Linked DNA regions of Neurospora crassa OR74A. Each later gene encodes a partner of the first gene's protein in a complex. Links are inferred from orthologs where the notes say so. Each region holds a gene or a part of one and is shown in the gene's direction. Other genes may lie near its edges.

Evidence for each region.
Region 2: the proteins of NCU00389 (region 1) and NCU01795 are in contact, whole or in part, in a crystal structure (PDB 4A9A), measured with the Saccharomyces cerevisiae proteins. The link is inferred for Neurospora crassa OR74A from reciprocal best matches to the Saccharomyces cerevisiae genes RBG1 and TMA46. Residues at the interface, in NP_009364.1 of Saccharomyces cerevisiae: Ser83, Lys84, Leu85, Thr86, Gly87, Thr88, Glu89, Val106, Ile107, Arg108, Tyr109, Lys110, Gly111, Lys113, Leu150, Val152, Pro155, Leu156, Lys159, Leu249, Ile252, Asp253, Ser254, Leu255, Ser256, Ile257, Glu258, Glu259, Leu260, Glu261; in NP_014734.2 of Saccharomyces cerevisiae: Gln217, Pro218, Lys219, Ile220, Thr221, Leu222, Glu223, Phe225, Ile226, Glu227, Glu229, Arg230, Leu233, Lys237, Leu238, Thr239, Pro240, Ile241, Thr242, Ile243, Asn245, Phe246, Trp249, Lys250, His253, Lys257, Lys269, Pro270, Thr271, Gly272.

The regions. Positions count from the first base shown.
Region 1 is NC_026503.1:3,677,409-3,688,215, forward strand, and holds NCU00389 (developmentally regulated GTP-binding protein 1), read left to right. Parts: upstream 1-4,429; 5' UTR 4,430-4,576; coding exon 4,577-4,597; intron 4,598-4,677; coding exon 4,678-4,698; intron 4,699-4,991; coding exon 4,992-5,277; intron 5,278-5,363; coding exon 5,364-6,001; intron 6,002-6,123; coding exon 6,124-6,244; intron 6,245-6,299; coding exon 6,300-6,319; 3' UTR 6,320-6,802; downstream 6,803-10,807. Other genes in the region: NCU00388 (hypothetical protein), read left to right, coding at 1-2,484, 2,543-2,769, 2,834-3,412. UniProt on the Saccharomyces cerevisiae protein: Involved in ribosomal function.
Region 2 is NC_026502.1:2,385,727-2,396,797, reverse strand, and holds NCU01795 (zinc finger containing protein), read left to right. Parts: upstream 1-4,353; 5' UTR 4,354-4,689; coding exon 4,690-5,312; intron 5,313-5,368; coding exon 5,369-5,813; 3' UTR 5,814-6,856; downstream 6,857-11,071. Other genes in the region: NCU01793 (RNA binding domain-containing protein), read right to left, coding at 564-887, 947-1,111, 1,949-1,978, 2,040-2,270; NCU01794 (hypothetical protein), read right to left, coding at 3,729-3,899; chap (CDP-2- and HDA-1 associating protein), read left to right, coding at 7,371-9,029; NCU16553 (hypothetical protein), read right to left, coding at 10,085-10,414.

The DNA.
Region 1 (10,807 bases):
ATGGCGAGGAGCCTATTGACCGGGTTAATGAAGACCACGACAATGCCGACGATATCAAACGCGCCATCAACGAAGCAAAGCAGAGGATGGGTGAGCGTCGGCCGACCTCTGAAGACCACCATCTCGATCACGCCACGGATACACGCTCATCCCATGGTCCGGATAGTCCTCGGCAGTCACCTGCCTCCGCCTCCATCAACCCGTCTAGTGGACGACGTGCCGGTACCGTTCGCGCTACCAAGACCAGCAATCATCTACTTTACATGCCCATGGATGACAAGACGCTTCGTGCAGCCGCTGCTAAGGGAGACGAGGAGACAGTCCTACGGATTCTTCAGGTTAGGGACCAGTTCGACGATCCTGAGTCCATGGTGGCTGCAGCTCGTGGTGGTCACGATCTGGTAATGCAGTTGTTGTTGGCTATAGGCGGTGCAAACCCTGATCCACAACCCATTTCGACCAACGAATATTCGACACCCATTCTCGCCGCCATAGGTCAAGAAAACATCAAGGTCATCCGGCTGCTCCTGGACCAAGCCAATTTCGATCCCACCAAGAAGTACAAGGGGGAGACCTACTATGAGATTGCACGCAAGCGACGAGGTCCCAACTGGATGCAAGAGGAACATATGCTGAAGGAAGCATTCGACGAATATAAAAAGAAACCCAGTTCCAATGCCAAGAGCCAAAGACTGTCAAATTCCCGGGAGACGGACCGCGAGCCTAGGCGCACACGAACCGAGATCAAGGAAGATGCGTCCAAGTCCCATCGGAGAAAAGCTTCAAGCCCTGCTAAAGAAGCAAAGAAAACGGGACCCTCGAAAGTTCCAGCTAGTCCTCGGGAGAAGAGGCGTTCGGATTCCGTTGCCACTCACCAGGAAGATCAGACATCGCCCAAGCGCGGCCCTGGCCGGCCCAAGAAAGACGACAAGATTCCAACCATTGCCATTTCCGATCGCGAAGCATCACCCGCAGGAAGAGTCACTACCAAAGCCAAACGTGCAGATCATGATGTCGCCGCTGCATCATCCGAGGGAGAAACTCCAAAGCCGCGCCGGAAGCTGATTTCTGGCAGGGAGCTCAAGGGCGAGCGTGAGAAGCAGCGCCGCGCCTCTGTCACATCAAATGGCTCTTCGTTTAGAGATCAGCCGTCTAGTCCACGAGATGAGTGTGAAAAACCTCAGATGATGGAGAAGTATCATGACCGGACGAAGGCTATCAGAAGGGACGAGTCCCGTGATCGATCATCTGTTTCTGGTGAAAGTTCCGGCAAGCGACACCGGGCCAGTGCAACCCCGCCACACCCTGGGTCTACAGAGAAGGATCCCTCAGAAATTCCCTCTAAAAAGAGACGGTTGGACGTTGAAGGCAAGGACAGGCGTCTTAAGCCCAACTCAGCCGAGGATCGTCACCTAAAGCCTTCTGTGTCCAGGGAATCCAGTCTTGCTGCACCACCTGACGGCAGAGTCAGATCTCGCAGCAGAGATGACGAAGATAGGAGATCAACCTCAAAGCCCCGGAAGTCAGAATCCACCTCAGAGCATGTTCGCTTTGACTCCGGCAAGCCCACCATCCCCGAACCCAGCATCCACGTCAAATCCGAAGACGGGGAGGTGGAAATGGGAGACGCGGATCATGCCGCCCAGGAAGAATCAACACGGCAGATGCTTGAAAAGCGGAAACTCCAAGAAATAAGAAAGAAGCAAGCTGAAATGGAGTCAGAAGCTCGCGAATTGAAGAGGAAAGAGGAGGAGAGAAAGCGCAAAGACGAAGAGCGCGAGCGGAAACGCTTCGAGGACGAGTCCAGACGTGCTGCTCAAGAGGAGAGGCAACGCCTGGAAGAACTGCGAAAACAGCGACAAGCAGAAGAAGATCGGAAACGAAGAGAGGAGGAGGAGGAACGGAAACAGCGTGAAGAAGAGGAGGCTCGTGAACGCGAACGAGAACGTGAGAAAGAACGTGAGCGGAAGAGAAGGGAAGAGGAAGAGGAGCAGAAGAAGAAAGAGGCTGCGGAGAGGAAACGAAGGGAACAAGAGGAGGAGGAAAGGAAAAGACTGGAGCATGAAGAGAAGGTCCGGAGAGAAAGGCTTGAACGGGAAGCCGCTGATGAAGCACGCCGTAAGCGCGAGGAGGAACGTCGTAAGCGCGAGGAAGAGGAGCGCCAGGAAAAGGAACGTAGGGAGAAGGCGATGCGGGAAGAGGCGGAGCGCAAGCGTGTTGCTGCTCAGGAGGCAGAAGAGCGAAGAATACGCCACGAGCAGGAAGTCATTCGCATCGCCAATCTACCTCCTGCGCTTCGGTGGCTGGAAGGCGCAGCGAATCCCAGGATTCCACAGATTGCTGAAAAGTTTAGCATCATGCAGGGAGTTCGTTACGACTGCATCGATCCAGAGGCAACCGGGACGCCAGAAGGTAGAGAGCAGTGGTTGCTCAACACGCAGATTGCGCTGCTGTTGGGAGAGAAGGACCTGCGGCTCTCAAAATGTCAGTTTTCACCGTACTGGATTGAACATTGCTCCCAAATGCTGACTTTTGGGTGTAGACAACTCATGGACCAGGATACCGGCATCAAAGATTGCCAAGCGCGTGCTTTGGCAGCTTGAGTCGGATCGCTATGCGCTGACATCCCCGAATCTTTACGACCTCGGCAAAGAGCTCCCTGGATACTACGGTACCGACGACACGGATAGCATCGTCTACCGTGTGACGCAAAAGCTCCGAAGTGCTGCCTGGGAGAAATTTGCTGCTTTGGAAATGTTCTTTGTCAAGGTATGCGTCCGTCAGATTTCCACGCCTTATACGTTATGGCGTATCAACTAACATTTCTCACGAGGCCTCTGACTTTTTGCGTATCATCCCTACGATGCCTCACCTGCGGGACATTCGGCTTGTGATGGCCTATCGCGAGCTTCCGGAGAATGAAACATACTTCAGAGACTTCCGACCCTTGGAAAAGTGGAAGAAGGACCCGGATGCGGGCCGAAATCATGGCTTTGCACCCGGCAGCAAATACTTTGTCAACGGCCAGTTCATCTGGGAGGAGAGGCCGAAGGTTGGTATGGTCAGCAAGATGCCTTTCGAGGAAGAGAGGGTTCCCCGCCGCGGCCTAGCACCCGTGAGGCCAGATGACCCAGAGTACGCCGAACTTTGCAGAAAGCAAGGGCTTGGGCATTTGTTGGGCGAGGCCCAAGGCTCGCACGTCTTGCCCAATGGTCACCGGTCAGCATCGCCAATAAGCACGACCTCGTCTTCAAACCGCGTGAATGGAATCACATCGCCAAGGGCTAGGACTGTCAACGGGCACGCGCATGGGCATCACCCAATATCGCCATCATCGGAGACTGGACCCGCGCAAGCTCGTCCGCTGCTTAACGGCCATCATGAAATGCTTAGCGGCGATGAAGAGGATTGATGGGTTACGATGTGTGTCAAAAGTTATTACGATGTCAAGATGTACTGGGTTGTCAGGGACGAAATCAACTAGGAACGCCTTACGCTCAAATCTGAGAGCTTGGTTGGTTTGTGTATTGAACGAGGTTAACCAACGGGACAGGTCATGAGGAGGAGTCCAGCGGTCAATGTCAAGCAGATCACTTGGGTTAGTTGTGTGGAAAAGGATGAAGCGATGGGGGTGTCGGGGGTCATGTCATGTCGACCCAACTTTTGCAGATACCTTTAGCGTTCATGATACGGTATTATCGTGCTATCTTGTACAAACAGTCACATAGCCTTTGTCAGGTTTTGAAACCCGTAAATGCGGACGTCAGTCGAGAAGTAGACCAGGCGGGCATCATCATTATCATCATCATCATCATGACGAGTTCGGACTGAAGGGGGCATCGAATTCACAAAGCATCGAATTTGGAATGGACGGTGGTATGGATGGGATGGAGTTGTGGCGAATAGCTGTTGGTTAGGTCAGTGTTTGTTTGTTGGTTTCCATTAGTATAACTTGACGATAGTTAATGATGAAAGGAAAACAGACGGGTGAAAGTGCGAGTATCGATGACTGTGGTATCGTGTGTGTATCGAGTAAGAGAAGAGTAACCGGAACCAACCACCATGCGAGCGAAAGGTGAACTATACGGAAATTCTTTGCTACACGGCATGAAGTGGAAACAGCCCCGAGCGAAGAACTCCCGTCCGGTCGAGAAAGGGACGGCGTAATGGAGGGTCAGCCCGATGGTAGGCATGTGTACAGTACCGTAGATGATCAGGTACGGAGCTTTGGGGGAAGGATTAAGGAACATGGAATGGAACGCCGGCGCCAAGGCCAAGCCCGGCCGCCTAGGGGCGTTGACTCTTGAGGAAGGGAACCGAAAGGAACTTGGAGCTTCCGTGGGCCTGTGTGTGTGCACTGTCCGCAGGTCCGCCCGCGCTGCGGCGATTTTAACCGCATCGGCGCGGCGCTGAAACTATGAAATTTGCCCCACCTTCAAAATTCCCAAGAAACAATCAAGATCATCATCAACTTCCAGGTTGGAAAACACTGAACCGCGCTCTGTCCTGCCACGACCGAGCAATCATAGTCGCCAATCCATAATACAGATACGCCATCGTGTGAGAGCTAGCAATCATGTCGACCACGGTGGATAAGGTACGTATATCGCCCTCTCGCATTCCCCATTAGAGAACATGTTGGAACAAGGAACTAATGCGACCGCCGCACCATGACAGATCAAAGAGATCGAGGCCGAAGTGAGTTTTAACTGCCCCCGACAGCCCCCGATTTTCGATCTCTCCGAGCCCCGATGCGATACGACACCCCCGAGAGAGGACAGGAAGTTGGACAGGTCAGAGACCAAGATGCGCTGGCCCCCGCGACACAGATGCAGGCAGACACAGAGGCTGTTCAGGCCATGGCACTGGAGCTGGAGGCGCGCGACCTGGACGATGAGACACTACCAACGGATTCCCCCCTCGAAGATGAACGAAACGACGCAACAAGGACGGACCTCGGCTAACGATATGTTTCTTTCCCCCTTCGATAGATGGCCCGAACTCAAAAGAACAAGGCGACATCCTACCATATCGGACAGCTGAAGGCAAAGCTCGCCAAGCTCAAGCGTGAGCTGCTCACGCCCTCGGGCGGCGGCGGTGGCGGCGGTGGTGCTGGTTTCGACGTCGCCAGAACCGGTGTGGCCTCGATTGGTTTCATCGGTTTCCCCTCGGTCGGAAAGAGTACGCTGATGAGCAGACTGACGGGCCAGCACTCTGAGGCGGCCGCGTACGAGTTCACCACGCTTACGAGTGTGCCGGGTCAGGTTACCTACAACGGTGGGCAGCCCTTTTTCTTCATCTTCTCATCCTCCGGAGCGTTACAAACAAGGTCCAGGTTGAACTGACATTTTGCATACATACAGGTGCCCCACTACAAATCATCGATTTGCCTGGTATTATTGAGGGCGCCAAGGACGGCCGTGGTCGTGGTCGTCAGGTCATCGCCGTCGCCAAGACGTGCCATCTTATCTTCATCGTGCTGGACGTTAACAAGCCGCTGACGGACAAGCGCGTCATCGAGGCCGAGCTGGAGGGCTTCGGCATCCGCATCAACAAGGAGCCGCCCAACATCACGTTCAAGAAGAAGGACAAGGGTGGCCTGAACATCACCAGCACGGTACCGCTCACACACATCGACAACGACGAGATCCGCGCCGTCATGAGCGAGTACAAGATCTCGTCGGCCGATATCGCCATCCGCTGCGACGCCACTATTGATGATTTGATCGACGTGCTCGAGGCCAAGTCGCGCTCCTACATCCCTGTTATTTACGTCCTCAACAAGATCGACGCCATCAGTATCGAGGAGCTCGACTTGCTGTACCGTATTCCCAATTCGGTCCCCATCAGTTCTGAGCACGGCTGGAACATTGACGAGTTGATGGAGGCCATGTGGGAGAAGCTTAAGCTCGTGCGCGTGTATACCAAGCCGAAGGGCAAGATGCCGGATTATTCGGCTCCCGTTGTGTTGAGGAGCAATAGGTGCACGGTTGAGGATTTCGTAAGTTTTTTTTCTCTTTTGTTTTTGTTTTTTTCTCGTTTTCCTTTGTTTTGATGCACCTGATTGAGCAAAAGAAACATCTGGGGTGAGAATGAGGTGAGCTAACAGCTGATGAACCGCAGTGTAACACTATTCACAAAACCATCGTGGATCAGTTCAAGGTTGCTATTGTTTACGGCAAGTCCGTCAAGCATCAGCCTCAGCGTGTTGGTCTCAGCCACGAATTGGCTGATGAAGATATCGGTATGTCTTTGGATGTTTTTCTGCTGGAAGGGTTGTGACTAATGGATGAAAACAGTCACCATCGTCAAGCGATAAAGAATTTTCGTGGAGAGGATTCTTAAAGATGTGCTGTGGTTTTTACGAGACGAGACACTCACAATACGGACGGTGGCCCGGGTAACGCACGTACACTGACCGATACCTGATCGACAACGCACCTTCGAGCCGTACGCAGACTTTCATGTGGGCTCGATCGCTTGCTATGGCGCACGGTATGGTAAGTATAAACCAAGGGGTCGATAGAAGGAGCTTACTCGGTCTTTAAGTGCCGAACGGGAAGCCAAATTGCTTCTTCCACTACTATACGCGCGGTTGTCCATTGACACAAGTTGTGGACAATGTGAAGAGACCCGAGGCTGGTGAAAGTGTTAAAAAGGAGGGGAAGGGTCCGAGACGAATGAAGGGATCAAAAAGGCTGCTATATAGGATATTGGCTAGGATTAGATCTAGAGAGCCAAGGTCACGACGGTAATGAAATCACGTATATACCTACTTTTTTTTTAAAGGTTGAGATTACCCTGTATAAGACTGGGTTTCTGGTGCTGGCTACAGCCAGGCCCAAAAGATCACTTTCAGGCTTATGTTGATCATTGGGGGGGTGGGTAGAGGAGGGGGAGAGCGAGATGTCCTAGAAAATCCTGGAATGGTGACAAGGGCTGACTCTATAAAGACAAGTGACAGCTTTCCGTTACCCTTTTCCTTTTCTGTTTCAACTCATTTCCCATGCCCGTTCTCTATACGTTTTCCAAGAGTAATGAGATGGACGCTATTGTACAAACAAGACTGTGCGTACTTGGCTAATACAACACTTTTCCTGACTCTATCAGGTTACCTTCGTGGTTCTTCCGAGTGACTAAAGTTCGTCAGAAACGAACCACTAGGCAGAACAGCGAGTCTGGGTAATTTTTCCAACCTCTGCAAAACAGTCGTAACCGGATGTGCTCAAATGACCAATGGGCCGGATAACTTCTCAAGTCTTTTCTTTGTGCTGTGTTTGTGCCCACAATTAGCGTAACTTTTTACTTTATTTCATGTTTTTTTTCCCCCTCTTTTTCCCATTCTATGTATATATATCATATCACCATCCTCTGATCGTCATGAGAAGGTGGGTGGGGACCGGGAAGTGAAGAGTTCTAAGAAGTCATTGAGGAACCGAGGTCTAAGCATCTCTAAAAGCCTGCCAAGTCAAACGCGAGTTCTCTTGTGAACAAGTTGTAAGCAGATTGTTCGTTACCTTCTTGATGGTTTACAGAACGGTTTGATACATGTTTGTATCCAATTCTCACATGAATATCGATTCAAACACCAGAATGTGTCAATAACTGGCTCGCTAGTTTACCGGGAGATCGTACACGACCGTGTGTGTATGTCGGTTGATGTTGAGTGCATTTAGTTAGAGAATCTCAAGCCGATACTCCAACGTCTAACGTCATGCTGCCATTCTCTTGATAACTATTCCTAGTCAAACTAGTCGCAAGTTTTATGTACGTGTTGAAGTCGATCTTTCACCTTCCATGTCATCGACAAAACTCAGTTCGTGACACTCGAGCCTTCGTCCCCCGTTTCCTCTATAGTCGATGTTCTCTTTCAAGTTCCTTTGATATTTGTTCCATTCCCGTTTCATTCTCCCCCAACCCAACTCAAAGCAGAATCGTCCTGTCTCTCACCGCTCCTTCCCTCTTAATTCACTACGAGTCGACTCGATCTGTAGCTTCCCGCCATCATGATGGTACAAACATCTGTTTTCCTTGCAGGCAGTCTTCACGCACCTTCCCTGGCCTCTCAGTAACGTCAAACGTACCTCCCATTCGAGGGCATTGGTGGGCACGTGTTTCCCAAGTCTGTGAATTTGCTTCTTTCAAGAAAGAGTGCCACAGCAGTGTCACCTTTGCTTCCATCCTACCTCAAGTTACATGCTGATCTTCTCTCACTTGCTCTTTCCATATGATCAGCATGGGGTGAGTCATAAAGTGCAGGGTGCGTGCTAGCTTGGTGGGGGACGAAAAATCCTCGTCGTCCCTTCCCCAAATTCTTCACCGGGGTATTTGTGAGAGAAGCGAGGGAGCCGGACTTGGTGTCTAGATTGTGCAACGTATTGTATGGTTTAAGGTTGTGTTTGGGCGTTGTAATAAAGGTTTGATCCACAGAAAGAAAAGGACTCACTGTTTACTTCGAATGATACCCGCTGTGTGTTTGTGGCATGCCATTTGGGTTTGTATGAGTGTCAATGAGGGAGTGTCCACAGTACATGTTACGCCTCCCATCCATGCAAGATGCCGTGTTCAACATTAGCATCTGACCCATTCTAGCCCCCTGATGTATACGTGAGTGATTTTGCAGCGGACTTTGGTTGTGATTATCCAGTGATGATGATGATGATGATGATGATGATGATGATGATGTTGTTGTTGTCTGTTGTGTTTTCTTGTTCTCATGCCTTGCTGTGATATAGCCCAACTCGCTGTAAACTCACATGTTTGAGAAGTTCTCTCTCCTGGTAAAGCAAACCAACTGAAGAACTAACAGGTTTTCCAACTCTGAATGAAGACCAAGTGATTGATAAATGGCGCTGATCCCAAGTTGAACCGTGTCTCCCTTAAGCCATGGCGAGGATTCATCTCTTCCATTACACCCCACTGCACACTAGATTTTGCATGACGAAGATTGCGCGCGACAACATCACCATGTAACGATCATTTTGCTCTCCTTTCCAGCATGATGAACAGAGGTATTCATTCAAAGACTATACGCCACTACAGACGTTTATGCCTGTTCATGAAGATACTGGACTTATAGTCACCTAACGATAAAGACAATCATTACCATGTCATTCGCCCCAACTTGTTTACTCTTTGTAAGTTTTGGGTTTGTCTAGACATTCACGCAACCAAGCCTTCGCTCAACAAGGTGTCGTGGTGTTTGCCTCTACCCCTTGGGTATCTCACAACCTCATACCAAGATGTTGTTTCCGATGTTCAATGACCGTTTGAGAGTCATGTTGAAATTGTCTACACGATGATAAATCTGGCTTACAGGTTAGACCACTAAAGACCCTCAACGCAAAGCAAAGAAGGAAGTAAATTACGGGTTTGTCGATCAAGTCAAACTTCTCTGTACGTGATTGGCGTATTAACCACTCAGCCATTTGGGTTCATCAACTTCACAAGTCATCAGTCATCCTCAAATTATCAATGACACTCACTGACTGACACTGTAACCCTCTCTGTCTACATCTATCCTTGTACCAGTAGCCAGACAGAGCTAAAGAAAATGACTGTCAAGCTGCAATCTTCTCCAGTTTCCAATGGTCAGATCTGACGTCCCATCTCATCTCATAACCAGCTCTCGTATTGTAGCAAATTGGTTGATCATGATCCAGACTACATACAGAACTCCACCCCCCAACTTCGCAAACTCCCAGGGCACTCAGCAAGCGAGTATCACCCCAGTGTCCAGGTCTCATCTTCCCATTTCCTCACGTAGAAATCGGCGTTCTCGTTCCCGCTAGAAGTATCAATGTCGTTAACTGCACGGAATGTGAGTGGAATGTACCCGACTTGGGCTCTGGGATACTGTTGGCTTGTCACGAGCTTGCTCAACTTGGACCTCTCCCTAACTCCTTTTTTGTTGGTAGTTTGTAAGCAACAGAAACGCTGGTCAAACTGTGTTGTACAGAGAGAAGACTTGACTGCCGAAAAAGGGGCGGCGTGTAATGTGTATGTGTGTGTGTGTGTGTGTGTGTGTGTGTGTGTGTGTGCCACCCCCCTACCGTATGTTGTGCATGCATGTATAAAGGGGGGGATGTGTGTGTGTGTGGTGATGATAGTAACTGTGACACCACTTCCCAGTTCCAGCCGCATTATAGATTTGCTTTAGGGGTAAAAGGGGCAAGCGGACAGGTACGTAAACACAAGACCGATATCGCACGATTCAAAGTCATCAAGCGAACCAAACTGCGGCTCTTAGTGCGCTGGCGCTACAGCTCGTCTCCGTTGGCCTGAAATCCAGACCTAGTCACTGTTGCTTCGTCGAGAGTGGTTTGTTCCAACGAGGCAGTATTCCAGGTAGTATTGTCTATGCTGCCACTTAGTCTCGAAAGTTCCCTACTTGGACAGTATCGTGCCCGGATACGGTAGGGATATCGTCAAGTGTGGTGTGCAGAAATGGTAAGTGGTAGGGAATGAGTGAGTGGCTCAGAGTCTAAAGTGCATGCATGCGTTCGTACATACATGTATTGAGGTAGTATGTGAGTTGGCAGGACAGGGCAGGGCAGACGGGGACGGGATAGGGGTAATGTAAACAGTTTAGAGTTATGAACAGACTGGCCTTATGATCTGCGGTCACCTTTCCCTTCACTTCCACCCCCTATCCATGCATTCCATATGCACTCCGAACAACCCCAAGAGCAAGGACCAACAGCACCCTGGGATGGAGGACCGCTGCAACGGCTTGGTAGTTGTAGTTGGTACCTCCAGAGCAAAAAGGTTCTGCAGCGAACCCAGGACGGTGGTGTCGGTACGCAGT
Region 2 (11,071 bases), on another chromosome or scaffold:
AACGCCCTGCGCATGCTAGATTTGGTCGTGACTTGCGATGTGAAAAGGACCACTGTGGATATTGCTCCCGCTTCGCTGACATATATGTCCGTTGCGCTCCAACAATTTAGTAGCAGAGGCGAGCTATTTGTTCGAAATTATATTCATCGCCTTGGGGTACTGGGAGGGGAAGACGCTTAACAGGCGACCAAAGGATAAGTGACAAAGTGCTGATAACAACACCAAATTGTGACCCTTGGCCCTTTGGCAGACGTGTCCTGCCGCAATCCATCTTCCATCAGAGGGACCGTAAACGACAGGAGCGAGATGGTAGGTCGCGGCGAACCAGTCGCAGGTCATACAGCATTCGCTAATAGAATAATAGTGGAGAGGCGATAATTGAAGGTCGTCGTGAGTCTGGAGAAAATTTCATCAAGCTGTTGACCTAAGCTGTAGACCCTGCCCGAACCCGAAATAAAATAGTAAAACAATCATAGACAATCCGAAATCCGTCAAACAAAGTTGTCGCTGAAGCTGGCATTCGCTCTCATCGACTGTTGCTGTTCCTCATGCATACCCTTCGTTCAAAGAATCTCGTCCTCCATGGGAGCATCACCACCGTTGGCAGCGGCCGGCGCGGCTCCGGTGGCGTTGTCCGTGGTGCCACTCTCGAAGTAGTCAGCCATCTCAGAATCCAACTCCTCGACGGTCTTCTTGGCAGGGCGGGCGCTGCGAGGGCGACGGGGACCCTTCTTGCTGCCAGGCTTAGCAGCAGCAGCACCCTTGGGGGCGTTGGCGGCATGCTTGACAGTGGCGGCAGACTTGGGCTGGGCCTTGGGCTGTGTGATACGCTGAGTCAGGCTCTTGGGCTGAGGGATCAACTCGGCATTGGAAACAACGACCTCGACCTAGGGGAACGTTAGAAAAGCCAGAACCAGAAGATTCATACAATGGAGAATGAGCGTACCTTGACCGGGCGGTTGTCAATCAGGAGACCGTTGAGAGTGTTGTACGCCTTGGTAGCACCATCGGCGTGGTGGAAGGTAATATGAGCAATACCGCGGCTAGTGCCTCCGGGCCCATACGAAAGTTCCACCCTCTTGACCTGTCCAATAGCTTGCTGGAAGTATTCCTATCACAGGGTAATTCGTGGTTAGCGTCGTGCGCCAGTTTCAGTGTGGTCGTGTTCGTAACGGTTCGGTTTCAAATCGGTCAAAGCTAGGGCATTATCTCGAGCCGGCCCAAAACCAGGATATAGCCAGAGCAGCGCGCGTAATCTCCAGGTCAGCAACACCAGCAACTGGCAGGTGAGCCGAAAATCCAACACTCACTAGAGCCATCCATACGATCCGATGCGTCTGGGCCCACAGCCCGTAAAGCAGTAGGACGTGTGAAGGGATCCAGTTATGCCAGACAATCCAAGCATGGTCCAGTTGATGTGATGCCGTCCTCTCGTAGAATTCCCGAACAACCACGATGCTAGACCCCGGTTCCCCGGAGTTGTAAATCCCCTGATGGACCAAAACCCCCCAGAAATCGTCCAACCAGGACATGAGAAACAGAGCCTCGAACATCGCTCACTGCGTGGCGCGCTGGGGTGCAAAGATCGACTTCAAGGTGACCAGCCAGGAAGAGATGATGCATGACCCCCCAGCTAGGCTCCCATACAAGATTTGTCTGCCGGATCCTGCACTGCTTGTCCCTTTCCGAACCAGAGGCGCTTGCCAGCCACCACAATGATAAGGAGGGGAGAGCGTGACTGCGATCTGCTCAACTCGCAACATGACGAAATGTAATGACACACGTCAGGGAGGAGCAATCAACGGCAGTCTTGATGGCCTAGGGCCGATTTGCAATAAACGACCGTCCCGACCGCCCAGTGGAGAAAACGACGCCGATTGGATACGCCACGGAAGAGGGATGTCGATAAAAGTCCGAAGGCTAAATGGCCTCATCGGTAATAACATACCTTGATCTGGCCTTCGGAAACGTCCTTGGGCTGCGATGGGAGTTAGCGGTGAAGGATGCTACGCAGGAGAAAGCTGGAGGACGCGACTCACCAGGTTGCTCACGACAATCTTGCTCTCGCCGGTAAGACCAGCACTCTTTGCGGGCGCCGGCTTGGCAGCGTTGCGAGCGGGCTTTGTGTTCTTTTGGATACCGCCAGCGGGGGCAGCATTGGTGGGCTTACCGCCAGCCGAGCGGCGACCTCCACGGCCGCGGGCGTTGGACTTACCGCGGCGCTGAGTGGAGAGAATCTCGTCGAGAGACTGGTCGAGCTTTCCGGACATTATGGCGGTGGGTTGCTGGAAAGTGATTTAGAAGTGGTGAGAAAGACGAGACGCGTGGTCAAGGTGGCTTCAGAGATTAGGAAGCGCGGACGGGCTCAGATGCGCAGTAGAGCTGGCGAAGGTCGCGTTGGGCAGAAGAGTGATAGGGAGGTCAGGTTACGACTCGCTGGTAGCGCAAGGTCGCGTGAAGTCGAAGCGGAGCAAGGGTCGCGCTGCAACGGAAAAGGTGCAGCGACACTGTGATCTGATCGACTCGAATGGCAAGTGGAAATGGACGTGGTCAGGCTGACGAAGTTGGATGCAGTCCTGCGAGCAATGAAAAGAATATGGGTCTTGAGCGGATGGGCTGTATCGGTGATGGACTTTGGCTTTGGCGGTGATAGTAGGTTGTGTTGGGGAATAGGTGGTGTTGTTTGGGTGATAAAGTGGTGAATGGGCGAGAGAGGTGAACGAGGGGGGGGCGGAGGAGGGAGTAGAAACCGGTGTCCGCCCAGAATTTGAGGGAGAACCGACGGGGACCGGAGCCACCTCGCTGCGCTTTCGTCAAGGCTTGGCAGGCTGAGCAGGCTCCCGCCCATACACTACTAACTTGCGGCCACACGCGCCTGTCCTGAACAACATCCAACGTGACGGGATCCTTGCCGCACTGGCCACCCCACCGCTTTGGCTTCGCTCAGAAGGGGAAAGAACAGTCATGGCCAATCACAGCCTTGTGGCAATCGCTTTGGCTGATGGCACTCATTGGTACGCTAATCTCTTTGGGGCTAGACCCATCCCTCCTGACGCAGCTGGGCCGTTCTGTTATGGTACCGGTACCTGCGATGGCGGGACACATAGCCAACTCTCCGAGACGCGTCACCACTTTCAGGGACCCTTTGGAGCTGTGTGTCCTTGTTTATGGATGTTCTTATCCCACACACTCCAAGCTTCCACTTGCTTCTTCAGGGACGTTTGCAATTGAGCTCTTTCACAAGCGGAAACAAAGAACGACCCCTTTGCACATAACAAAAGAACAAACCATATTATTAGTCAGTCATGCTACCCAGAGCGCTTGGCACCCTTCTGCTACTTAACTGGTGACATGATACACCATGATCCGAACAAAAACTGAAATCCAGTGCAAGAGTCTGCTCCTATGCATTGGGTCAACCATGGGGTATCAACCGACTCTGACCCATTCAATCCTCCTCGGCCCGAAACCTCGTTACTTTCCTAATGCTATGTCCCTGTATTCCTTTTGTGATTCCGGGGTTCCCTTCCCTTGCATATCGGTTGCGCCCCAGACCAGCTCTGTCCTGCTCTGCCCTCAGTAGAAGAGAGTGTTCTGTAGGCCGTCTGTCTCCTGTCCTTCTCGGCCTCGCCCCAACCAGATGTCCCAAGGGCGGGACAAGCTGTATCGTGCCGTTTGTGAAATATAGTCTCTGTCTTCGTACCGTACAATTTTGCGGACGCTGTGTCCTATTTTGCCTTGGTCGGGGCCGATGCCACCTTTGTTGCCTTCTTCTCCTGGACAACATCGGTTTCGAGATCTTCGGCATTGGTTTCGAGGAAGTGGTGGAGAACAATAAGAACCATGGCCGCGCACCCGAGAACGATGGCGAGACGGTAAAGTTCGGCGTCAGAAATCATTGTGTCGTTGGCGTAGGAAAAGTCTGTGTTGGGTATTCGTTCGGTGCCGTAACTGGTAGCTGTAGACTTGTTGCGACTCGCAATGCTTGGAGGGGAGTTCAAGTGGGTCCAAAGGGCGCTGTTCTGCTGCTCAAAAAGCTGTCAATCAGACGGCTGGACAGAGACAAGAAAATGCCGTGCTCACTTTTTCTTGGTGATGCCAATCGCACTGGCTGTTCTGCGCCGGGAGGACCGCAAATTCGAAAGTGATGATGCCGATTGTCGGGTGTTATGGACAGCTTTCCACCTTGAGGGCCGCGACGCAGCATCGATGTATCGGTACATCTCCATCCGTTCATTTACAAGAGGATCCGATAGTCACGTGGACGGACCCAAGCTGAAGGAAGGACCTCTTCTTTCGTTAGGTATACCGGCTGCGCTGCCCGGACCAACGTCAGGGCTTCTGTGGGCGGACACCCCAGCGCTTTAAATCCCGGGCGGCGTCAGTGGGCCCATTCCACTTTGGTTAGAGTTGTTTCAACCCACCCACTTCGAATTGCCTCCAAGAAACTCTCCAGGAAGACTTGGTCGAGATCCCCGCCTTCGTCTGCAAATCTTTTGAAGGTCGCTGCGACAACACGCTCTATTTACAACCTACGCGCCGCCACCACCCCAGCTGCGACAGCGACTCGATATAACATACATACGTGATCCATTAACTTGCGCATCACGACACACACACACACACACACACACACACACACACACACAAACTCTACTCTCTGGTTCCCGATCGCGATATTTGCCCATCATGCCTCCCAAGAAGCAGGAACCGAAGGCCGCCGGCAAGAAGAAGGCTGTCGAAGACAAGACCTTCGGCATGAAGAACAAGAAGGGCTCTGCCGCCCAGAAGCAGATTGCCGCCCTGCAGGCCTCAATGAAGAACGGCGGAAACGCTGAGCAGAAACGCAAGGAAGCCGAGAAGGCGGCCCGTGAGCGCGAGAAGAAGGCGGCTGAGGATGCCAAGAGGGAGGCCGATCTGCTTCTCAACAAGCCCGCCCAGATCCAAAAGGTTCCCTTTGGTGTCGACCCCAAGACCGTTGTCTGCATTTTCTTCAAGAAGGGCAACTGCGAAAAGGGCAAGAAGTGCAAGTTTTCCCACGACCTGGAGCAAGAGCGCAAGGTCGAGAAGAGGAATCTGTACCAAGATACACGAGCAGAGGAGGACGACAAGAAGAAGCAAGAGACCTCGGCGGACTGGGACGAAGAAAAGCTGCGTTCCGTCGTCTTGTCGAAGAAGGGCAACCAGCGCACCACCACCGACAAGGTGTGCAAGTTCTTTATCGAAGCGATCGAGGAGGGCAAGTACGGTTGGTTCTGGATTTGCCCGAACGGAGGAGACAAGTGCATGTATAAGCATGCTCTGCCGCCTGGGTAAGTTGGGGGTTTGCACCATTAGCTTCTTCTCATAACTAACACCATCTCTGTAGGTTCGTTCTCAAGACCAAGGAGCAAAGGGCGGCTGAGAAGGCGCTGTTGGACAAGTCGCCTCTCAGGACCCTTACGCTCGAGGAGTTCCTCGAGTCCGAGAGGCACAAGCTCACCGGCACTCTCACCCCCGTAACACCCGAGAGTTTCGCCAAATGGAAGAAGGAGCGTCTCGACAAGAAGGCTGCCGAGGAGGCCGCAAGGAAGGCGAAGGAAGCGACCGGTCGTGCCTTGTTCGAAAGTGGCAACTGGAGAATGGAGGCCGATATCGATTCCGACGACGAGGGGGACGACGACGCCTGGAACTTGGAGAAGCTGCGGAAGGAGACCGAGGCCATCCAGATCAAGAAAGAGGAGGAACGACTGTCAGCTCTCCACGGTGTTCCTGTCACACTCGGCGAAGCGAAGGACGTCACCGGACTCAGCGAGCCAACGCTTGGTACATGAGGGCGTATCAGCACACGAGGAGAAAATACCAGCGCCGCCGCTTCAGAAAGTTTGTGCCATCCGAGAGTTCGGCACTTACTTGCGGCAAGGATCTGGCGCCAAGTTGATGAAGCTGCTCGAGTTGCTCGAGGCAGCTCGCTCAGAGGTTATCCGACATCTACATCACGATATATACACGAAGCTTCGAGGAGTGAAGCCGAGTTGCACCTCCACAAAGGAGCAGTGGGAATAATGTCGTCAGGTTTCGGTTTGGAAGCTCTGGTCATGAACTAGTCTAGCTCACACACATAATCATAGGCATGCCCGGATCCAGCACTTCGTTCCAAACTTCTTGCGTGTCTCACGTGTCTAGTCGCCTTCGCCACCAGCATTCATTATATGAACAGAGACGGACATAGGATAAATGGGTTCATCAGGACATGTCAGTTGTTATCTCCTTGATTCAGCAAGCCGTCCTTCTACCTGCACGTCCGTGACCCAGCTTGTTCGTCGGTGGTTCGTGGCTAAAGATTTCCTATCCAGAATGGGTTCAGTGTGACGGGACTGCAGCACATGATAAGGAATTCGAGGCATTGGTCTTGTACGTCGAGTTATTGATCCACGCATGGCTTGCAACCAATTTGTAGAAATACGGTGTGGCTGTCCGCAAAAACACTCACCACGACGCTTACGCAGTGACGGGGAAGGTAGACTTAAACCTAGAGCCACCCAAGTGTGGCCACATTGTCTTCAATGTGATGTTTGGGCAGCGAGCAGAAATTTGCTGTACATCGTTCACATGGACCGCCCAGGAAGATACAAGGGCGACGAACTGATACGTTTGATGTTTCGTTCAACACTAGTAGTCCCTTCTAGCAATTAGAACTAATGGGTGAACATTGGATTGCTTCTTGCACAGTCCAGTACTTGTCAGGTCTTCAAAAGCTAGTCAGACGGTCGGCGGTTTTGAAGACCTGGCGAGGAGGTACCATGAATCAGTCGTTGTTGTCCACACTTGTAGTTTCCTAAACTGCTTCAAAATGAACTCTTATACCGGATGGAAGGGAGTCTTGTAACATACACACTTAGTGAATGCAACCATAAACAGCGCTGCTTCCCCATGAATTCACCTCACTTACCTAATTTGAGGAAAGTTAACAAGTCCTCTGTAATTAATACTATGCACAGACCACTTTCTGAGCCGTGCGATTAGAAGTAATAGTTTCATTGCTAACATCACGTCCAGTCGCGTCAGTCCCTCATCAACCCACGCCCTCTCCTATAACCACAGGAAGCCGGCATTAGTTTGCCAAACCAGCCCTCTACACCAACCAAGATACTTAATATTTACTGGATGTTCTTTCAGTCCCCTAGTCAGGGACTTTCAAGTGGCATAACTCGTCAAATCATCAATCTCAGCAGTTAAAAAGGTGCGTTGAGATATTCTCACTTGTGGCAGATAATGCGACTAACTAGGCCCCAGATTCACTCTGTTGGATGACGACAATTTTCGTCCTCATCTCGCTTTAAATCTGAACTTGCTTTACTGCAAACTTGATCGAGGGAAAAGTGGAAAGGATGCCCTACGACCCGGACCTCTACCCGGATGACGACCCTATCGACAACTTCAATTATGATCCTAAGGACGATTATGATGAGCTGGGCGATGACTATGACCCGGATCTAGACCCAAACCAACAAGGGGATCACGAAGAGGACGTGGATGAGTTCTACGATGCAGAAGACGTGGAGGATGAACCATCACTACAAGCGCCCGTCAAAGTTCCCCAACATCCGAGGCGAGCTACGCTCTCGCCTTTGCAACCCTCAAGATCTGAGCGACATGCGACGCCAACATCGACATCTGTCCGCGATGGAACACCAAGGTCAGCTCGGGTCGCCGTCATGCTCCCGGTAAGCGTGAAGAAGGAGGCCTATATCAGTGTCCCAGATGTTGCATCAGACGAAGAGGAGGAGGAGGAGGAGAAGGAAAAAGAAGAAGATACAATGGTTGGCAGTTTCGTGACATCAGACCTGATGCCTCCCACTCCGAAGAGGCGAAAAATCACAGAGCGGCCATCGACGAAACCTACCCCCACTGTTCCCGCACCCAACTATGTGCCGCCGAAGGTTCAACCACCACCATTTCCGATACCAGATATTCCAGCACCAGTACCCCTGGTCAATCCAACAAAGAAACGAGGGCGGCCGTTCGGGTGGAGACCAGGCTTGTCCTATGCCGCAATGCGAGGAAATCCCGTGCCTCCCCCTAGACCCAAAGTTCCGAAACAACCCAAAGCGCCAAGCGAGGTCAAGCGCAGAGGCCGTCCACCCAAGAAGCCCCATGAGTTGCCTAGAGAAATTTTCTCCAAACTCACGCCCAGGTACATCCGCTTCCTCTGCGAATGGGAGGGATGCCCGGCCGAGCTGCACAACTTTGAGACTCTACGGAAACACGTTTTGGTCGTACACGGCGATTACAGACAACCTCACCAACACCATTTACTATCAGCAAGAGAACAACCACAAGAGCCCAAGACTTGCAAATGGGCTTCGTGCCACAGCAAGCGTCTCCAATCCGAGCTGCCACCTCTCACCCTACCCACCAGATCCCACTTCGAAGCCCACGTCAACGAAAGCCATCTGATACCTTTCCTCTGGCACGTCGGCGACGGCCCCCGCAACACCAGCATCGAGTCTCCCCTTTCCGAGAAGCCCCTGACCATAACATCGGCCCTCCCATCACAACCGTTATCGTCATCATCCATCTCTCACCTAGATGTTACCACCACCACTACCACCAACACCACCACCACTTCCACCGCCATCAAACTCCAACCACTACCACCCTACCTCTTCGACACCTCCGGCAACCAAGTAACCCCCTCCGTCCGCGACCAGCTTTACGAAAACGACGACGACAAACGCCGCCGCCGCGTGCGCCTGGAGCGAGTGCATTTCCTGAGAGACGAGAACGCAGCCCCGGAGCCAGTCTACACGCAAGCCGAGCGGGACGCGATGGAGGCGAGCTTGGCGGCCAAGAAGAAGAAGCAGGACGAGTTTTGGGAGTACTACGAGAAAGTGATGGGACCCGTGGTAGAGGTGACGGTGCTTGCAGCGGACCAGGAAGACCTGGAGGTCCCGGAGAATGCTTCTGGAAACCTAAGCAAGGAGGTTAAGAGGAAGATGTTGAGTTGTGGGTGGGATCCGCAGTGGAGGGGGTTGTACCAGGATTGATGTTTAAGCGGGAGGGCGAAGGGGGGATGAAGGATGGAAGGAGATGGGTGAATGTAGTTCTGGTTGCGTGTGTGTTGATGGGGTGGAAAGTGGTGGAAAAGGTAGGGGCATATTGTTTGTATACTTATGTACATTCACACCTTCTTAACATAGCAAGCGATACTCAAGTGCAGGGCTCCCAATGTTCGTAACATACCATAGGTTGCAGTAAGTTCTTGGTACTTTTTTTTTTTTGCCTTGATGTGAGTTGATATTCGCCTATAGATATATTTCGTGCTATTTGACAGCAAAGCTGGCTCTTGAATGATACGCAACCAGGGGTAAACTCCCCATGGGAGAGTGCCCAGGACTTGCATGAAAAGATGGACTTTGAGCGAAATGGAGCGGATGACGTTCTGGTTCACGGCCGAACACACTATTCAGCCACTAGACTACATCGAGACAATAATGTTACTTAGAGTAGACACAAAGCTGACCGAATCTCTTGCGTTGATGAATTTGCAACGTAAAATGAAACTCGAAGTACTTCCATGATGTCAATTCCGGAGAACCTTTTCAATTGTCGCAATTTTTACAATAGACTTATTAAGACGCTTGGTAGCGCTGGATATTTGTCTTTGCAATGTGACGCTTTGAAAGAGGTTTTTGGAGCGGGTACTTTGCGACAGTATGGAGATGCAGAGTGAAAAGCTTGGAGACTAGAGAGACATGTCGAAGATGAGGAAGAGCTAACTAGGTGAATTGGCCTATACCTCTATGCTTGGGTTCTTGACCTGGCTGGGACCTGGATATCAACCCCCACTCAGCGATGGGAATGTATCACGATACCAGTGCATGCGTACACTACATACACAGTCAGAGTCTAAACTAACTGGAAGGTGACAGACAGTAGACTGAGGAAACTTGATGAGTTTGGTCTTTCCGGGGTAGGCTTGGCTTCCCCAGCTTGACGGGGATCGGTCAACGTGGAACTTGAGGTTGGTTACTTGGCTATCTGGTTGCCTGCGTTAAACACCAATTCGGGTGATGAGTACCTAGGTAGTGTATAAACCTCGCTAAAAGCGACCAGATTTCGGACAGTAACTGCCGGGACGGGTTATGCTCCGAGCTGTCGCCAACGGGAAGTGCGCATATACTGGACCTATTAGATATTGTAATAAAAGAGGACTTCCATAGGTACTTGTCTCTGATGTCCCAGCCTTTCCATCATCCATCTGCAGGTCCTCGACAGCACTCGACAGTCTGGATCCATCAAAGACGTTGCCAAGCCCTGCGAGGTGTGGTGGACTGGTGGCGGCAAGACAGGGACCAAAGGATTGCGATCCAACAGAAACCAGTGTTTTTAGAGAAGGTAGTGTACGTAGAGACGGCTGGTACTGAGACATGATGCTCGGTACGCTAGGTGTTGCGAGGTTGCTTTACACGTCTTCGCTGCTGAGAGTTTGAAGCTGACCATGAGCCTCATGACGGGCCAGACGGGACGGGTTGGGGGTTTTGCCTTGCTGATAAATGCAGTTTTCAATGGATGACAGATGGCGTGCCATTGATGCCGAAATGACTGGACGAGAACCCTTCAACTTGGAAAGAAGGCGCAGTTCAAATGGTCGGGACTCCGATCGTTCTCATCGCTCCAGTCGGCGTGCGCCGGAAGGTCCCGTAACACTCCACCAACCTGAGGAATCCAGAGGAGACCTTGGAAACAGGCAGTCTCCTTGGAGTCTTTGGACACCATGATTCGACCTTCGGCCAATAAACCTGTACCTGTGGTTGCTGCACTAGCAGAACATCACCACATTAGAGTGCTTGCCAGCTAGCCGGAGGTACCTCTAAGTAGGCGGATGATGCAGTGGGGAACAACGCTGGTGTCACTGTGTGTTTAGCAACCAGCCCGTTGCACCATAGGTAATGGAAGAAACCCGAAGCGAAACAGCTTTCGCGGAGTGCCCAACAGCGACGCCTGCAGCCCCATTGGACGGCATCCTGGAAGTGGAAGGTGCCTGGCCGCCAGCATTCGTAAACAAGTGGGCACACACCCAGACGCA